Linked DNA regions of Mus musculus. The protein of the gene in region 2 purifies or fractionates together with the protein of the main gene of each other region. This does not show direct contact. Links are inferred from orthologs where the notes say so. Each region holds a gene or a part of one and is shown on either strand. Other genes may lie near its edges.

Region 1 (5,745 bases), on a different chromosome or scaffold from region 2:
GACTATCAAGACCCTGTCTTCAAAGTAAAGCTTCCAGTAGTGCAGCAGAGAGGAGAGGGAGGGAGGGAAGGAGGGAAGGAGGAGGAAAAGGGTTCGGGAAACAGAAGGTGTTTGCTTGGGTGTGGTGGTTCATGCCCTCCATTCTCTAACCCTAACAGGAGTTTCAGTAGGGGAATTGCCGAGAGCTGGAGGCCAGACTGGGTTAGACTGAGAACAAGCATCTCAAACAGGTCCTCGAAGGAAGGATGACATGCAGAGCACTTTCTTGAGGGTAAAGGAATAGAACAATGACTGTTCTCTTTCAAAACAGAAGCCATCCAAAATCTTTGGCCTTATCTTAAAGTGTAGCTGAGCTGGGTTAATTTCATCTGTTACAGATGCTGGATTTTCAGAGAGCCCACGCTTCTGAGATGAAAGAAGGCAGCTTTGTTATCATCAATATGAAAGGACAAGTTTGGTATCTAATACTGCTGGGTTGTAGCTTACATTGAGTGTGCATCACAAATGAATGGTTTAAAAATCATCGTGACTCAGATCTGACCTTGTAAAAATCTCTCTGGAAAATTACCACCCAAGTTTTTTTCAGAATAAAGATTTCCATTATTTGGACAATAGTGTTCCGGCTTGGTATTTTATTTTTACATTTAGTTATGTGTGGGGGAGACACAGATATGGAAGTCCGAGGACAACTTGGGGGAGTTATGAGAATCAAACTCCAGTTTGTAGCAAATGGTTCATCTCACAAGCCATGTTGCAAATGACTGGGAACGAACCAAAGGGAACTATATTGTACAAAGACTCATGATGAGATGTTTTTAAGAATTATAACAGTGGTTAATTTTCAGATTTAAAAGATCTATAGAAATATTTGGCATGAAAAAATACTACAAAGACAATTTCTCCACATTAGAAAATTTGGAAAATTCAAAGCTGTTTACAGAGCTACATTCTGGGATAGGCACTAACACATGGCTCGGGGATATAATAATTAAAAACTGTACCCTATGTTATCTTATGTAATTCACATAGATATAACCTGCTGTTTATAGTGTACAATTCAGTGACTTTGAGTGTATTCATAGTTGTATAACAGCAACTTTAGAAATTCTCACTTCAGGAAACTAGTACCCCAACCTGTCACTTCTTTAGCTGTCACCTCCAGTTCTTTCAAACTCCCCTTCTACTCTACATTGCATGCATTTGTCTTATCAGCGTGGTCACACAGAATTTAGATATCTGTGTGTGGCTTGATTCAGACATCGTCAACATTCTCTGATATTGTAGCATTATCTGTACTTTATTTTCAAACGCTATAATTCGAGGTTTGCCTCTCTGGTTTTTAGGAGTAGTGCTACTGTCAGCCTCAATGTAGGGACTTTGTGTGGGTGTCTGTTTTCATTTCTCTTGGATGTTTACTTAACAAGCAGTGTAACTGCCAGGACGAAGGTCACCCTTTGGTTTACCTTTTAGGAACAGGTATTTTCCAAGAAACTAAGCAGCATTTGACATTCTTACTTGTAGCTAAGAGGGAACAGATTTTTATTTCTGGTTAAATTGGTTCCTCCGTTTTAAAAATATTCTATCTCAAGGCTTCTCTTATTTCCTAAGCATCATGTCGCTTCTTTAGGACACCAAGGAAGCCTCTAGTCTACAGGGTGGTGGGATGGCGGGTTTACCAGCTTTGGCGGGGAGGAACAAGCGACAAGTGGCCAGGGGCAGGGGTCCCGCACCCTCACCCTGCCGCCTGACCACGCACACAGGCCTGCCGTCATTGCCTACGGGCCAGGCTCACCCCAGAGCCCGGCTCGGGTGCGCTCGTGGCTTCAGTGGGCCCAGGGTCGCCAAGGATGCTGCAGGGGGCCGGGACGCGGGGCCCCAGGCCGGGTCCTGTGCTCTCGGGGTTGCAGAGCGCCGGCTGTGGGCGGGGGACGAAGGCCGCGCCCCCGCGCCCGTCCCGCCCGCGTCCCGCTAGGGGCGGCGGCCCGCCCCGAGTCCGCCGAGGCTCTTCCGCGCCGGCAGGGGCAGCAGCGGGAGCGGCGCGGGGCGGAGCGGCGCGAGCAGCTAGGAGCGGCCCGGCTCGGCCCGGCGCAGCGGCGGCGGCAGCGGCAGCGGCAGCGACGCCAGAGCCCGTGGGCGCCTTTCGCAAGGCCGCCGCAGGCGCCTGGCCGCAGCGCGGGAAGCCTCGGGGGCCGGAGCCCGTCGCTGCCGCCATGCCGCTGCTCTTCCTCGAGCGCTTCCCGTGGCCCAGCCTCCGCACCTACACGGGCCTCAGCGGCCTGGCCTTGCTGGGCACCATCGTCAGCGCCTACCGCGCCCTCAGTCAGCCGGAGGACGGCTCGGGTGAGCCGGAGCCGCTAACGGCCCCACTGCAGCCCGAGGCGCGCCTGACCGCCGGCGGCCCCCGGGCCCGCGACGTGGCCCAGTACCTGCTGTCGGACAGCCTGTTCGTGTGGGTGAGCGAGGCTGCGGGCCGGGCGCGGGGGCGGGCGGCCGGGCGGGAGCCGCCATGTCACCCATTATCCGCAGGGGGGCGTGGCCGGGCCCTGACCCCGGCCTCCTCGGCCCGGGGACCGCGGCCCTCGCGTGGGGCTCGAGGCCCAGCGGCGCTGCGAGCGTGGCGGGCCGCGGAGAGAAGGTGTCGGGATGCCGGGGAGAACAGTCGAGGCAAGGGCGGTCGGACCCGCGGGCTCCAGGGCGGCGGGGTGCGGCGACCCGAGGCTGTGAGAAGCCGCGACACGTCCGGTTTAGCTCGGCGTTGTTGGGGGCGGCTCGCCGACGAAGAGAAGGCCGAAGTTAGGGGGACATTTTACTCTTCGCCAGACAACTTCGAAATGGTGCTATTTGTCAATGCGTTAGTCCCGATGGGCGCTATTTAACGAAGCAAACAGACCAGCTACGTCCTTTTATCTCACCCCCAACCACCCCCCGCGATGGTTTGTGACTGTTCCCTTTTTGACAGAAAGCAGCAAAACACTTTCGGGTCGGTGTGGCAGCCCCTCCTTTGAACGCGATTCCTCCGTTTAGCGATCCATTTTGAAACAAGGGTTCTAGTTTGTCTGCCGGTGCGAGATAAGCAATGTCCACATGCCACAAGTACTGGCTTCGTTTGTTACATCATTTTAGGCTGGGCAGATCTGAGAAAATTTTGCTCTCACCTTGCACTTGAGTGCCTCTTCTATGAACCCTCAGAAATAGGAAAAGTTGCTCCCGGATTTAAAAAATTGTCACTTGGATTTCCTGTGGCTTGGTGGGGATCGTATCTCCCCACACGGCGCCTAGAGAAGGCTGTAAATGACTGAGGGGTTAATGTTATAAGTTTGTAGAACTATAATGCAACTCATTTGTTGTAATTATTCCCACTGTGCTTCATCAGGAAGCAGCGGGATTTGTGAACTTCGTGGGCTGCAGATGACGCCTCCTGGTCCTTTGGTGCATAGTTTCATAGAAGGCAGTGAAGGGCAAAGTTCCCCTTTCTCTACTCCTAAGAAAAGATGAACTGTTCGTCTTTAGGGTAAACAACTTAGAATTATTATGTTGGGAGTGCTTTTGACAAGGGTGAAGACTATAGTGTATGTAGTCGTTGATACCTTGTTTTAAGCTGGAACCATTATTCTATTACTAGAACAGCCAATAGTATTGTTTAATGTTTTTTTTTCGTAAGTTTCTTCTTGCAAAACCCACGTTCAAATTCCAAGGTTAATAACATTTCATAAAACATTAATCTAAGGCCTTCCCTTTGGCGTTTCTGAGAATTGTCATTTTAAAGAATGTTCTTTTTCTTTGCACAGTCTTACCTCATATAGATTGATCATTCCTTCCCCTCCTTTGAATCCTTATTTCTCAGTTGAGCTTTATTCGGTTTTCTTGCATGTCCTCTGGAGTTTTGGCACTCATGGTGTCTGCCCAGATCTATCTTGTGTGTGCTGTGAGTTTTGTTTATCGTTTAGTACTTACTTTGCGCAGCTATGCCTCACACTCTTTAAAAACCTCCCCTGTTCCTGGCAGGTAACACTGAGTGTCAGTGTGGTGGGCCTTTGTCAAAATGGATGCTTCTTGAGCCTCACTCATAGGCCTTAGACATTAAGGGGGGGAACCCCTTCCCCGCCTAAGAACAAAACATTGTCTGCCAATGCCAAGCAAGATTAACAAGAACCTGTCCTTTGTCATTGCCAGTCGGAAGTCTTACTAGTTATTGTTTTGTCAGACTCTCTAGAACTTGTCTTTGTAGAACACATGCAGTAGTCTCTCAGGAGGTTTGATATTAGCACAGGCAGATGAAAACCTTTCTGAGGAAGACTCAGCTACCAACAGCACTTCCCCCCTACCCTCAAATGACTCATATGTAAATGAGGCTACTTACAATAGGTGACAATAGAACACATGTGAAGTCCTGTGGGGTTTCCAGGTAGGAGAAAGGCTTGCTGTGTGGGACTGACTACAGCTTCTCTGACTTAAAGGGAGTTGAGAGGTTGGAAGGAGACCAGAGGTAAGAGGAGGTGGCCCTGCTGAGAGACAGGTGACAAGCCTTTGAGGCTCCTTCTCTTCAGGTGTGGCACTGAGGCTCACTTGTGGCTTATGACAGCCATCTTTGGCTTGTCACTCCTCCTGCCACATGCAGTGAGAAAAGTAGGTGGAATTTCAGAACTGGTTAGGTTGGTTCTAAACTTAAAACTTTAAAAGACAGATCCTGCAAGTTCATATTTCAAAGGTCAAAGTAAACAAAAGTGATAGACAGCGAAAGGAGGTCCCTGTTCCACCTGCATCCCATTCAGCTCCTTGTAGCTGGTGCTGGCCTTAAATGGGAACCTAAGAAACAGTCAGCCTCAAGTCCTTTACCCAGTTCATTTCTGTGGCTTGCACGCGTATACATGTGCACATATTCTTTCTGTTTCACACCTGCACCTGCGTTTTATTCTCTCCCTGAGCTGGATGCTGCTTTGAACTTTTATCTAACGTTACCTTGACGTGTCAGGCGTGTGCCCTTCCTGGGCTGATGCTATCAGCACCTCCCGTGGATCCACTGGCTGCCTGTTTGTGAAGTCTTCAGGGATGGACACGAGGGCTCCATTTCTCTGCTCTTGTACAGTGGTCTGGCGAACCCTTTTAGCGTGATTGGATTCTGCCTGTGAGAGGAGTTCGGTGTATGGCACAGATGACATTTTAAAATAGCTCTTCTCTGCTGTCCAAGTGAAGGGAAGCGGCTGTCCAGATCAGGCTTGCTGCAGCAGACCTATGGTTTATGGTTCTTAGAGACTCAGTTTGTCCCATGCTTGTTGGGCTTGAAGTGGGGGCTGACACGCCAACTCTGCAGGAGTGTTCGGGGTCCTTGGAAGCATCTGATTTAGGGTTTAAAGGTCAAATGCTCCTGTTAGTGCCTTTGAGCAGCTGAAGCTCGTTTTGTTGAGTTTCTTTTTCTTCTCTGGTTTTAGAGACCCAGTCTGGCTGCTTAGGACAGAGTGCTGTGCCGCCTGCTGTCAGTCCCTGTGTGGTGGCCTCAGCCTCCCCTCCCCCATGATAGACTTGTAGGCCTGGGCCGCCATGCTTGGCACAATGTTTACATTTTCAGTTGAGATTGAAAAGTTACTGTGTTTATTAGGATGACATATTGAATACTTGTGAAGTTAGGGCCTTTTTCTTTATTTTTTTTGAAGATTTGTTTTATGGGTATGAGTGTTTTGCCTGCATATAGAAATGTGTACTGCACACCTGCCTGGTGCCTTGGGGGTTGGAAGGCGTCATTGGATT
Region 2 (5,809 bases):
AACATTTACATTTTAACAGGTGTTATAAAACCAAAGTAATATTCTAAATTCGAACTTACTGGTAGACACCATTATACACAAGAAACTGAGTGATCAGCGTAGCTAGGAAGGCGATGGTAATCCCAAGCCCAAGGCCGCTTCGGGAACGATCAAATGTCCACCACAAACCCAAAGAGAGGGCTGCTAAAGTCAAGGACAGCTGGACATTATTGGCAAAATCTAATTTCTAGTGATCCAAAAGTTAAGGAAGCATTTTATAATTTATCATAAGAAAAAAAACCCCTAAACCCCAGAATTACGTACAGGGTGTATCACTATATAGTAACTGTCTGCTTCTAATGATGGTACATGACCAATCCCAAGACCCCCAGTGAGGACCAGTCAGAGCGCTGGCTTCTAATAGTAAACTTTCTGACAGCTGGGAGATTGCTAAGAATGCTCTCCTCCCTCCTTTACTTTTCAGTGAGTGGAGACAGGCGGGCACTGTCTCCATGTTGTCTCTGTGTCCCCTAGGTAGTAGGTAAGTTGATTCAGTGCTTGTCAGTGAGCACTCTCAGAGCTGGCTGGCAGGAAAGGAAGGCCCCAAGTGCAGACACAACTTCACAAGATCTTTTACTCTAAGTTGCTCTAGAAACTTAGCATTTGAAGAGTTTACCATCAAATTGGTCATTTTCATAGAAAATGCATAAAACCACAGCAGCCTACACGAAGGGCAAAATGTCAGCTATGGAAAGTAGAAGCCCGCAGGGACCTCCTGACCAGCCTTGGGCTCCTGTGACAGAGAACAGGGACAGGGCTCTCACTACCACAGAGCACATCAGTGGGGTAGAAGGCAAGAGAGAGGACAAAAGTCCACTGAGCCACAGTAAACCTCTGCTTCTACTCTTAGTACAGAGGTCCTAGGAACGGAACCCCAAAATTCCTGCCACGTGAAAGCCAAGTCATACTCTGAAGCTCAGGAACGAGGGGACGAGCAGTGTCAATATACCCTGCCACAACCCAGATGACCCTCTGCACAGACACCAACTGAGGATACGGCACTGGCGTGGTTGATGCCAACGAACACGGCAATACAGCGCATAACGCTGGCCCATTCTCTCTTGAACTTGTGTGGTTCTCCCAGGTGACTGTCAATACAGGGATACAGTAAACCGACAACAGCTGTTTAAAGAAAAACAAAACAGGATTAGGATACACTGGTGAAAATCAGTCCTTGTGTGGTCATTATTAGTAGGATCCAAACCACTTATTTTCCTCGGCAGTTTGTCACCTGTAGCACAAAGTATTACCTTACATACACCTGTAAGAAAAGGCTGTGGGAAGGCCACCCCACACTGCTCTCTTTTTCTCAGCCTTGACCTGGCCCCAGTGAAGACAAGTCTCACACTGTGAGGAGGGTAGGGTCTCAAGAAGGGAGAGAGGCTGGACAGGTCTCCTCGAGTTTGTTTTCGCATGTGTGAAATGAGGATTATGTAAGTAAAGTGGAGGGCAAAGAAGGTTCTGTGGTTCTCAGAGTTAGGAACTGTCACAAACACAGATTGGACTCCAAAACATTTGGACAGCAGAAGTTGGGCACTCCAGAAGACACAAAGAGAGTAAAACCCAGGAAGGGAGGGACTGTCTGCAGTACAAGTGGGAGCAGTCTCATGGACACAGGGCACAAGACCTCAGTCAGGCTGCCGTCCCACCTTGTCCAGTGTGAACACAGGCACTCAGCCTCAGTGGTGAAAGCAGTACCAGTCCAGCCTCATATTCAGATGAGAAACTGGTTTACTGGGTTCCCTTAAACTTTCATCACAAACATGATGCTTCATGTTGAAGATAAACTTTCAAATTCAAAGAGCCTTAGGTTTCATATGTAAGGAAAAGAGAATTCAAATCTCCATCTTATTCCCCAAGGAACTTTTAAATGCTGGGGATAGTAGTTTGGTGGCAGATGATTTGCCTAGCATGAATGAGGCCACCCCCAGTCCAAAACAACCAAGAAGCACACAACTGTCATGTGGCTGACCCTCATAATGCTGCAGGTGAGCCTGAGAGCAAGCAGCCTTGGAAATCAACAGTTAAGTGTCCTGCATCCTACATTTAACCCATGACTCAGCTACAGCACAGCACCCAAGCCCAGCATATAAAGCATAGGCAGGCAGTCAATAAAAGCTGGCTTCAAAGCAGACAGGCACTGCTCCTGCTGTCCTGTGGCTGCAGATTGGAGGAAAGATGCACCTGAGCAAATACTGCCCACCTACACAGGACAGGACAAGGACAAGCAGGGCTGAGGGGGGAGAAACACTTGACAAATGGTTATCAACGCTGTACACTGTAAACTATGCAGGATCTGTTGGACTGTAATTACTCAACACTTTTGGCAAAAAGCAGCAAAATGATCAAGGAAAGAAAAAAGACTGTGGCACTGTTACAAGTTTCGTTGGGCCTAAGAGGTGACACCATAGGTGTGCTTAGGCCCAAAGGCTCCTTTTTTCCTCCTGTCCCAAGTCTACTGGGCACGGAGTTCCAGAAGGTTTGGCTGATAGCCACAATCTGCAGAAGGCAGAGAAGTCTGTCCCCTGGCAACTGCCTCTTGAGCGCACGTGATGGTTTGTTTTCAGTTATCCAGCGAGGTAGCACGTTTGCTCAGGCAGCCAATAGCTGCGTGGTGCTGCCCTCACCAGTTCTCCAGGCGGCCAATCCTGGCTTCTGGCTCAACGAGACAGCTGCGACTCCTCCACTTAAACTGCCAATTATCTCCTGACCTCATCTCCATCACTAGTCCCTCCAACTTCCGCCTGTCGCTCGCCAACGTCTGGGGTTTCCTACCCTCTCCGTTCTCCTTTTCTTGTAACAAGGGTGACTTTAACAGCTGACGTGTCCCTTCATCCCCCTCCCCCACCCCAAGAACAAGGAAAGGCACTCACCCGCTGCCGTGCCACAGCACGGGGGCACCCACCAGGCGGAGGAGAAGATGGTGGCTATCACCTCGTCGGGGAAGAGCGTGACATTCCGCTGGATCTGCAGCAGGTTGAGCACCAGGGCCAGGACCACGCCAAATGAGAAGAGCACTAGGCTCCGCTGCACCAAGTCGTGGTGCCAGCTGCCCGGCCGCGCGCTGCATCCTGTGGTTCCCGCTCGCTGGCCCCGGGGCGCGTGCTCGGGTTCGGGGACTCCGGGGCCCTGCGGACAAGCGGCCGCCGCAATCATGCCTCGCGGGAGGCTGTACGGCCTCGCAGCGCCCGCGCTTGGATAGTTCCAGACGTGGTCGTGCAGCCTGGGCATCGGCGTCCAGGCACAGCATGGAAGGTACACGCCACGACACTACACGTACCGCGCCCGGACGGCCCAGGAGCGGCCGCGGCCCCGCGCGGTTTCCGCTTATAAGGCAGGCTGCCACCGGAGCCACGTGACCTCACCCAGCCTATCCGCCGCCCGCGCGCCCTGCTGGGGGGCGTGTCTTCAAGCGGCCCCGCCCTGTCCGCGCGCCTGTCCGCTCGGGGTCTGGTGAGGCCGCCGGAGCCAATGGGAGGAGGGCGGCCCATATGACGTATGCACACGCCACCGGGGGGGTGGGGCTGGTGCCCGGCACGCGCTCGAGCGCGCGCTATTCGGGCAGGCGCCGGGGCGGGCACCGGAGCGGGCGGCCAGCGAGTCAGATGGTCCGATGCTGCCCTATTGCGCTGCCGGACCTCGGTTTCTGAGATAATGAGGTCCACGCAGGTCCGAAGGAAAGGACCCGGAGCGCAAACCCTCCTGAGTGCTTAAAAGACCTGGGATCGCTTGGGCTGGCTGCTAATGGCAAGTGCTCTGCAGGTTCACAGCTCAGACCAGGGCTCCCCTAGCCAAGACGCCACCGGCTAAAACCACAGGGTGGTGAGCAGGCCTGAAAAGGCACTGTGTGTGTGTGAGACCTTAGGTAAGGAATGTGGCTTTGTGCCAAAAGTGTAAAACAAAGTCACCCTCCTAAGCAGGCTGTTTCTCAGAGATCATGGGGGCTGTCATTTTCCCAGCGTGACACGGGTGTGGAGACCTGGCTGTCTTTCCCTCACAGCCTGTCCACTCCTCTCTTAGGCGGCTCTATGCGTTGTTTGGAAGAGCTTGAAGCAGTTTTGACTTCAAGGAATGTTGCAACTTGGGTCTTCGCCATTTTCCACACTCTGGCCAGTCCATGCATGTGAGGTTTCATGGGCATACACACACGGGGGTTGGGGACATCAGTACTGTATGGTGTATTACAGCAACATGGGAGCCTTTTTGACAGCAAGAAAGCAGGAGGGCCTGCCCAGCTTCAGCTGATAGGAAATTGTTAAAGGCAGTGAGTCTCTGCTGTGGGATGTAGCAGGTGCTGCCTCTACCACCCATCATCAGCTGCAAGTACTCTAAACAGATGTTGAGAAAGCGACACCTGTGTAAATACACACAATTTTGCCCCCAAGGAACAGACACATCGCTCATAGGAAACTTGGCCCTAAGGAACAGACATGCCAGTCACTTGCAGGAAGCTGGCTTGATGGGACAGTCCCAGACCCTGCACCCACGCCCCAGCACCAAGCATCTGTCTTGTGAGCACTGAGATGTAATTCAGTCCCTTTTTCTCAAGCCATTTTGCTTGTCTTTACAGACTCTCCCCCGGATTTTTTTCCTCTTGTTATAATTCTTACCAAGTAGGCTAAGAGGTTCTAATAATACTTTGTGTGCTTTTGTGATGCTTGCCTGGGGGCAGGGGTTGATATCTTCAGACAATTGCTCTGTTACCAACTTGGTTGTTTCTTCTGCTTACCCAAGCCAGTATTAATGCAGTCTAACCTCTGCTGCTGCTTGACCAGCTCATCTGCACCGGGACAAAGCAAGCTGTGGGCTTAAACCCTGGTGGCTGTTGTGGTATGCAGACCAAGGTGCCCTGTGGACCATGAAGGATACACCCTGTGGCCTGGTTCTCTGGGGGTCCCACGGGGGCTGCTATGGGCTCATGAGCAGTTTACCTCACTTTCAGTGAATGTAGGGTGACGGTAGAGAAGAGTTCAAACTGAGGCTCTTGGAGAGGCTGCCTGCCTATCAAAAATGATACCCAAGGCCTGCTAGGTTTTTGTTTTTGTTTGTTTGTTTTGTTTGTTTTTAATGCATACTGGAAATGGAAGATCAGGGGTCCCTTCTCTGGCCCTGAGGATGAGTGGGGTTGCTAGGGAGATGCTTTTGAGGTGGAGCTCCTTGGCCCTTCACTGTACCACTTCATGTTAATCATTACAGCTTTGCTGATTGCAGGTGCTTCCATCTACTGAGAACTTACCTGGGAGCCACCCATTGCTTTTTATCTATATCTCTGCCATTCTTCCTGGGATAATACCAATGATCATTTGTGACTTAATTCTTAAAACGGACTAGATAAGGAAGTAGATTGGCTATTTTAATGTAGTCTCACCCCTTGCTCACTGTAGACTGTTCAGAAAATAGAATCATATCTGGGGTGAGGTAATGACTTGGTCAGTAACGTGTTTGCTGATTAAGAATAAGAAACGGAGTTTGATCCCTCAGAACCCACAAGGAGCCACATATGTAGCAGTACATGTCTGTCCCAGTACTAGGGAGGCAGACAGGACCCTTGGAGCATGGTAGCTGGATCATACACCTAAAACTGAGCTCTGAGTTCGGAGAGAGACCTTGTTTCAAAAAGAGGTGGAGAGCAATTGAGGAAGACTGCTGAGATCTACCCCTGACCTCCACTTGCATGTGCACAAATGCACCTGGACACACACATGCCAGCCTTCTCCCCTCCACTGAGCACAAGCTGCGGTTAACATATCAGCGAGAGTATGCATTTCTA
Region 3 (5,825 bases), on a different chromosome or scaffold from region 2:
AAAACAATATAAATAAACCTAGGGGGTGGAGACATGGGTCAGCAGTTGAGAGTGCTGGCTGCTCTTGCAGAGGACCAGGGGGCACTGCATGTATGTGGTACACAGACATACATGCAGGGAATATACCCACATACATAAAAACTCACACATTTTAGTGCCTAAAAGGGTTCCTGTAACCAATCTCCTATGGATACTGACAGACAACTGTATATCCAAATAGCACACAAAAAACACGCACTGAACTAAAAGTAAGAATTCAAAGACCAGGCTGGAGAGATGGCTCAGCGGTTAAGAGTACTGACAGCTCTTCCGAAGGCCCGGAGTTCAAGTCCCAGGAACCACATGGTGGCTCACAACCATCTGTAATGAGATCTGATGCCCTCTTCTGGGGTGTGTACATATAAATAAATAAATAAATCTAAAAAAAAAAATCCAAAGATCTATACACTTGAGTTCCTCCTAATTGTCAGCCTTTTGACTAACTGTGCACTCATGTTCCTGACGTCACCATTCCTAATAGCCAAAAGGTAGACATAGCTCCACTCTTCATTGAAAGGTAGATTTCTTTTAAAATGTAGCTATATAGCAGCATCCATTATCCCAGCACTTGGGAAGCAGAGGCAGGTGGATCTCTGAGCTCAAGGCCAGCCTGGTCTACGAGTTCCAGGACAGGCCTAGCTATAAATAGAAACTCTTGAAAAAAAAATGTGGCTATACAAACAAAATAATATAATTCGATCTGAGAAAGGAATGAAATGTAATAAACAATACATGAATGAACCTTCAAATCAAGGTGAAAGAAACCAGACTCAAAAGAAAGACCTGGGGCCGGAGGGAACGTTCAGCAGTTAAAGGTACCTGTTCTTGCAGACTGTCAGGTTTGGCTTCCAACACACACATGGTTGTTCACAACCATGCCTAATTCCAGTTCCAGGGCATCTGATAGCCTCTTCTGACCTCTGAGGGCACCAGGCATACATATGGTACACATACAAACATGCAAGCAAAACATTCATACACATTAAACAAAAGTGAAATAATCTAAAAAGCATAATTACAATTCTCCTCAGATGAGAGAACTTATCACAAGCAAGCTCACAGAAAAAAAGAGTACAACAGAGGTTGCCAGCAGTAGGCGGCACAGGAAATATGGACTGTTTAATGGGGACAGTTTCTGTGTACAATAATTAAGAAGTTCTGAAAATGGGTAATAATGACAGCTATACAACACTGTAAGTATATTTAATATCCCTGACTACTCTATTTAATCATTAAAATTGTACATTTTATTTTATATATTATTTTCCACAAATTTTAAAAAAAATTAAAAATTAGAAAAGTCTAACAAGCCAAGTGGGGAAGAGGAGAGAAAGAGAGCCGTGCCGTACTGAGATGTGCCATCTTGGACACAGGCTGCTTCCTCCACTCATACCACCTCCTCTTCCACCTCCCATTTGCTAAGAGAACAATAGAGAGACTATGAAGCCAGTGGGCACATCTGCAGGAAAACACGGACTGTTGTCGGGCAAACAAGTTCGCATACAGGCACAGCCCCTAACTGGCCAGTGAGAAAACTTGCCTGAAATTCACCCTATAGACTAACACTATCATCTCATCTGTTCATTACGGAACTTTAGATAAGCTGTGCCCAACAGCCAGAGCCTTGAAAAATTCCACAAATATTACCCACAAGGATCACTTTAGGTGGCTAAAGTCACCCGGATCTTGTTTCTTTAGCCAACTCAGAACAGTGGTAAGTTCCAGGGTCAGGAGCTCGTATGGCAGAATCCGGAAGACACAGTTTGAAGGCCTGATTCTCCATGCACACACTGGATGACCCTGGAAACTGGTTCCACGGGAAAGAGAATGAAAACCACACATGCGGTATTTGTCGCAGCCAACAGAAGGATACAGACTGTCAAAGTGAGCAAAGTGCACATGAATTCTAGGCTCGCCGAGATGAGTATCTGGAGTGATCCTGAACTGTGGCAACTCTAACCAACCACATTAACAAATACAAACGGACGGCAGGCATGGTCCCTTTCCCAACAGGACAGTTAAGCAGCTTACATATGGCCTCAGGCAAATCACAATTTTTATGGTTCTGTGTTCTAGCCACAAACTAAGAGTAAAGGTTTTGTGCCCATCTCAGGACAGTAATCTAAATGGGTGGTAGGGTTCCCAAACCGTGACTTTTAAAGCACATGGAAACATCTGGAGAGGTACTTCCCACCCGCCCCCCCCCCCCCACACACACAGTAACAAGAGAGTATTCAACAACAACGGAGTTTCAAGTAAGGGGAAGCCAGTTCTTGCTTTTCAACCTGACCAAAGAATGAGTGCCGAGCAGGAGCAGGAGCACACACATCTGCTATCCCACATATTCAGGAAACCGAGGCAGGAGGATGAAACTTTGTGGTCAGCCTGGGCAATGAAGCCCAACTCAAAATAAAAAGCCACAGGTGTTACTCAGTGGCAGACCAATGCCCTAGGCACACGTCCCCAAGTAACTTAATAATGAGTATAGGAATAATGTTTATACTTGTATTTCCTGTTGGTCGTTAAAAAAACAATACAAACAAAATATTTGCCAAGCAGAAACGCTGCAAATATATAAAAAGCCTTTAGATTTGAAATACATTAGCATATACTTCATAACATACAATCTTCACTTGAGCATCACACAGGTTACACCTAAAATGCATTCAGCACTAACTAGATACACTTGATCCTGACTCTAAGAAAAGCTTTAATGTTTAGCACACCTTGAGATGGCTGCACACTGCATAAGCAAACTCTACAAACGCACCCAAACGCATCATTAAAGACTGTTCCTATGTCGACTTCACAAGAATTACTACAAGATCATCATGAACTTATTTATTCATCGCTTCCGTCACCATAAGAGATAAATAAGCTAAACTAAGGAAGACTACCTCCAGGACCCCACTCCCACTCCCACCCCTCACCCGCCGCCACCTGTGGCTCACTGCCCTCCTCTTCATCGCCACCATCTGCACAACTTTCTGAGATGCAGTGTGGACCCGGGACTCGCTGCAGCTAGCGCTATCCCATTATAACCCTGATGCAACAAAACCACCTGGAAGTAAACATAAGCAACATAAGCGAGCAAAGTTTAGGTTTAAGCAACACATAAAACCAGAAACCGAGCACTCCCAGCAGAGAATCTACATGTTGCCTGGCTATCGGATCTTCGGAAAGAGGCAGGACTGAGTCACAGGGTCTAGCCCTCACCCAGACAACCCCAGACAACCCCAAAGCAGGATCCAGCGGCGAGCCTACCTGCCTGAGCTCACTCAGCCTGAACCCATCGCGACCCAGGCAGCTCGGCCCGGGCGGGGGCGCGGTCGGGAAGGGGGACGCGAGACCGTCCGGCCCCCAGCTCCAGACTGCGGTCTCCGGAGCCGCGCCTCGGGCTGCTGGACAGCGCCCACGCCCGCGCGCCCCTGCCCGGGCTCGCCCGCATCCCGGAACTCCCGGGCACGAGCGGCGCGAGGCCGGCGCCGGGGCCCAGCCGCACCGTGCAGACGCGCGCTGAGGTACCTGTGGCAGCGAGGCAGCTCCCGGGCGGCGGCGACCGAGCGGCGGAGAACGGCCTGCGCGCTCCTGGCCCGCGGTCCGGTGTTTGGAGCCCGCCCTCTCCCTCCCGGCCGCCCGGCGCCCGCGCAGCTCCCCGCCCCTTCACCTCTCAACTCCTACCTTTCCCCTCCCGCTCCGCCGCCCTCCACACGTGCTCCCGGCGGCGTGCGCATGCGTAGTCTGGCACTGCCAACGGCTCGGGTTCGCCCCCTGGTGGTCCCCTGCCACACAACTGCGAGAGGAAGTACTGGAGTTGCCTGTGGCCTGGAAAAAGGTGGCTAGTAGCACTTCAGAGTTTTGACAGCATCACTGTCCTGGGAAGTGATTGAGAACATGCACAAGAGCTCGTGTTCCATGCTTTATAGTGCCAAAGGATTAGAAGCGGGGCTGGGTGTATGGCTCAGTGGTAGAGAGCTTGCCTGAGACGCTAGGGGCCCTGGGTTTGATCCACAGCAGCATCAAAAAGAAAAACAAACCAGGGAATTAGAAGCAACTGAGCTAAATAGCAAGTGTATTCAGTTGATGAACTAGGTATAGGAGCCTCCAACACCAAGGATGTTAAATGAGCACTTATAATGAAAGCTAGTTCAAAACCAAGCTGGTGTTAGGATTCCATTTTTGTTAAAAATACAATGCATAGGGTAAAGTGGAAGATATATACTCAGTGTTTATTCCCACGTAGAGGAACTATGGGTGTCTGAGTCTCTTCCACCTTCTGAACTGCCACCAGTCGACTTGCACATGTAACGGATTATGCTGAGTGACTGCTCTGGTAAATGCTGAGTTAAGCATATGGTGTGTGTTCTCTCATTTGGCCTTGGGGAAAGTGAGGTTCCAGACACTCAGCAACAGCACCAACCCTGGTTGCTATGTTTCCATTTGTCCTCAGGCCTGCCTGTGGAGAGATCTCAACCACACTACCAATGTCTTGACTCTCTGAGTGTCACAGGTCAGAGTGGCCACCTGCCCCCATCTTGCTACCTTAAACATACTTCTTTCGTGTCACTCTTGCTCACCCCCAAGGCATACTAAGGTAGAACAGACCCTGTACCTGCCCTCAAGGGCACCAGTGGTGGGGGAAGAGAAAATATAAGTATAGTCACCGTGCAAAACAAATCAGAGGTGGCCACTTCAGCCTTTGGAATAGGGTTATTCTATAAAGCAGGTTTCTGGTAGAGATGTAACTCAGTTGATATACTGCTTGCCCAGCCTTGAATATGAGCCTTAACCCCCAGCAAACTGGCAGTGGTGGTGAAAGACTCCCCAGAGGAGCCTCTCGCTCAGGCCTCAGGATAATAGCAGACACCCAAGAACTCACGATAGACCAAGCTTGATGCAAACCACATGAGGCTTTATTCGGGGAAAGCCAGAGCTCTGGGGATGACTCATATCCCACGCAGGGTTAGAGGAGTCGACCTCGAGGGGAAAGAGGTCCCAGTTTTTATAGGCCCTCAGGGGGGAAAGGAGAAGGGGAGAGTGGGGGGATTTCCAGATCTAAACAATTCTCAAGAAATGGGTATGGGAGGGGTACAAGGAAAGAGTCTGGTGCAGGGGCAGCAACTCAGGATTGGCCCGGTTGTGGTTGCTGGGGAGATTTTCTGACTCTTTCTCAGCAACCAATATCACAAACACCTGGCAGTGGGCTTCATCAGTGGGCACACACATGGGTTCAAGGAATGGTCAAAACATTGGCAGACACACAAGTTCAAGGAGTGGCCAGAGCATTGTGCACCTCTATTTTTCTAAATCAGTGAAGCTAGTTCTGCTAACAGTGACATCTATCTTGCCAATTTCAGGGCTTCTGTGACCTTTTACATTCTGTTAGGATCTTTCAGTGGGTCACACCTATGTCAGCCCTTAGGAGATGCAGGCAGGAGGAACAGAAGTCCAAGGTTCCAATTTGAGGCCAGTCTGGTACATAAGTCTGGCCCCCACAAAGATAAGAAAATGCAGCCCACTGGTAGGGCCTAGCATCAAGGCCTTGAGCTCAAACCTCAGTAATAAAAATAAAATTTATTTTTTTACGTGGTGTATTTTGTTGCTCTGACTCTTGTTGATGGACATGGAAATGCAAACCAAATATACCCTTTGTTCCCCGAGTTGATTTAAAAAAAAAAAAAAGAAAAGATGTACTTTTTTTTTTAAAAGATTTACTTATTTATTATATGTAAGTACACTGTAGCTGTCTTCAGACACACCAGAAGAGGGTGTCAGATCTCATTACG

The links. The genes of interacting proteins can lie anywhere in the genome.
Region 1: the proteins of Insig1 (region 2) and Amfr purify together in Homo sapiens (affinity purification with western blotting; 6 studies listed by BioGRID and IntAct, with this or other methods). This does not show direct contact. The link is inferred for Mus musculus from reciprocal best matches to the Homo sapiens genes INSIG1 and AMFR.
Region 3: the proteins of Insig1 (region 2) and Scap purify together in Homo sapiens (affinity purification with western blotting; 11 studies listed by BioGRID and IntAct, with this or other methods). This does not show direct contact. The link is inferred for Mus musculus from reciprocal best matches to the Homo sapiens genes INSIG1 and SCAP.

What each region holds. Positions count from the first base shown.
Region 1 is NC_000074.6:94,008,927-94,014,671, reverse strand, and holds the start of Amfr (E3 ubiquitin-protein ligase AMFR), read left to right. Parts: upstream 1-2,031; 5' UTR 2,032-2,210; coding exon 2,211-2,453; intron 2,454-2,543; exon of another isoform or gene 2,544-2,643; coding exon of another isoform or gene 2,644-2,664; intron 2,665-5,745. UniProt on the Homo sapiens protein: E3 ubiquitin-protein ligase that mediates the polyubiquitination of lysine and cysteine residues on target proteins, such as CD3D, CYP3A4, CFTR, INSIG1, SOAT2/ACAT2 and APOB for proteasomal degradation.
Region 2 is NC_000071.6:28,068,899-28,074,707, reverse strand, and holds the start of Insig1 (insulin-induced gene 1 protein), read right to left. Parts: upstream 3,297-5,809; 5' UTR 3,271-3,296; coding exon 2,913-3,270; intron 1,162-2,912; coding exon 1,037-1,161; intron 227-1,036; coding exon 60-226; intron 1-59. UniProt on the Homo sapiens protein: Oxysterol-binding protein that mediates feedback control of cholesterol synthesis by controlling both endoplasmic reticulum to Golgi transport of SCAP and degradation of HMGCR.
Region 3 is NC_000075.6:110,331,245-110,337,069, reverse strand, and holds the start of Scap (sterol regulatory element-binding protein cleavage-activating protein), read right to left. Parts: upstream 3,715-5,825; 5' UTR 3,565-3,714; exon of another isoform or gene 3,304-3,564; intron 1-3,303. UniProt on the Homo sapiens protein: Escort protein required for cholesterol as well as lipid homeostasis.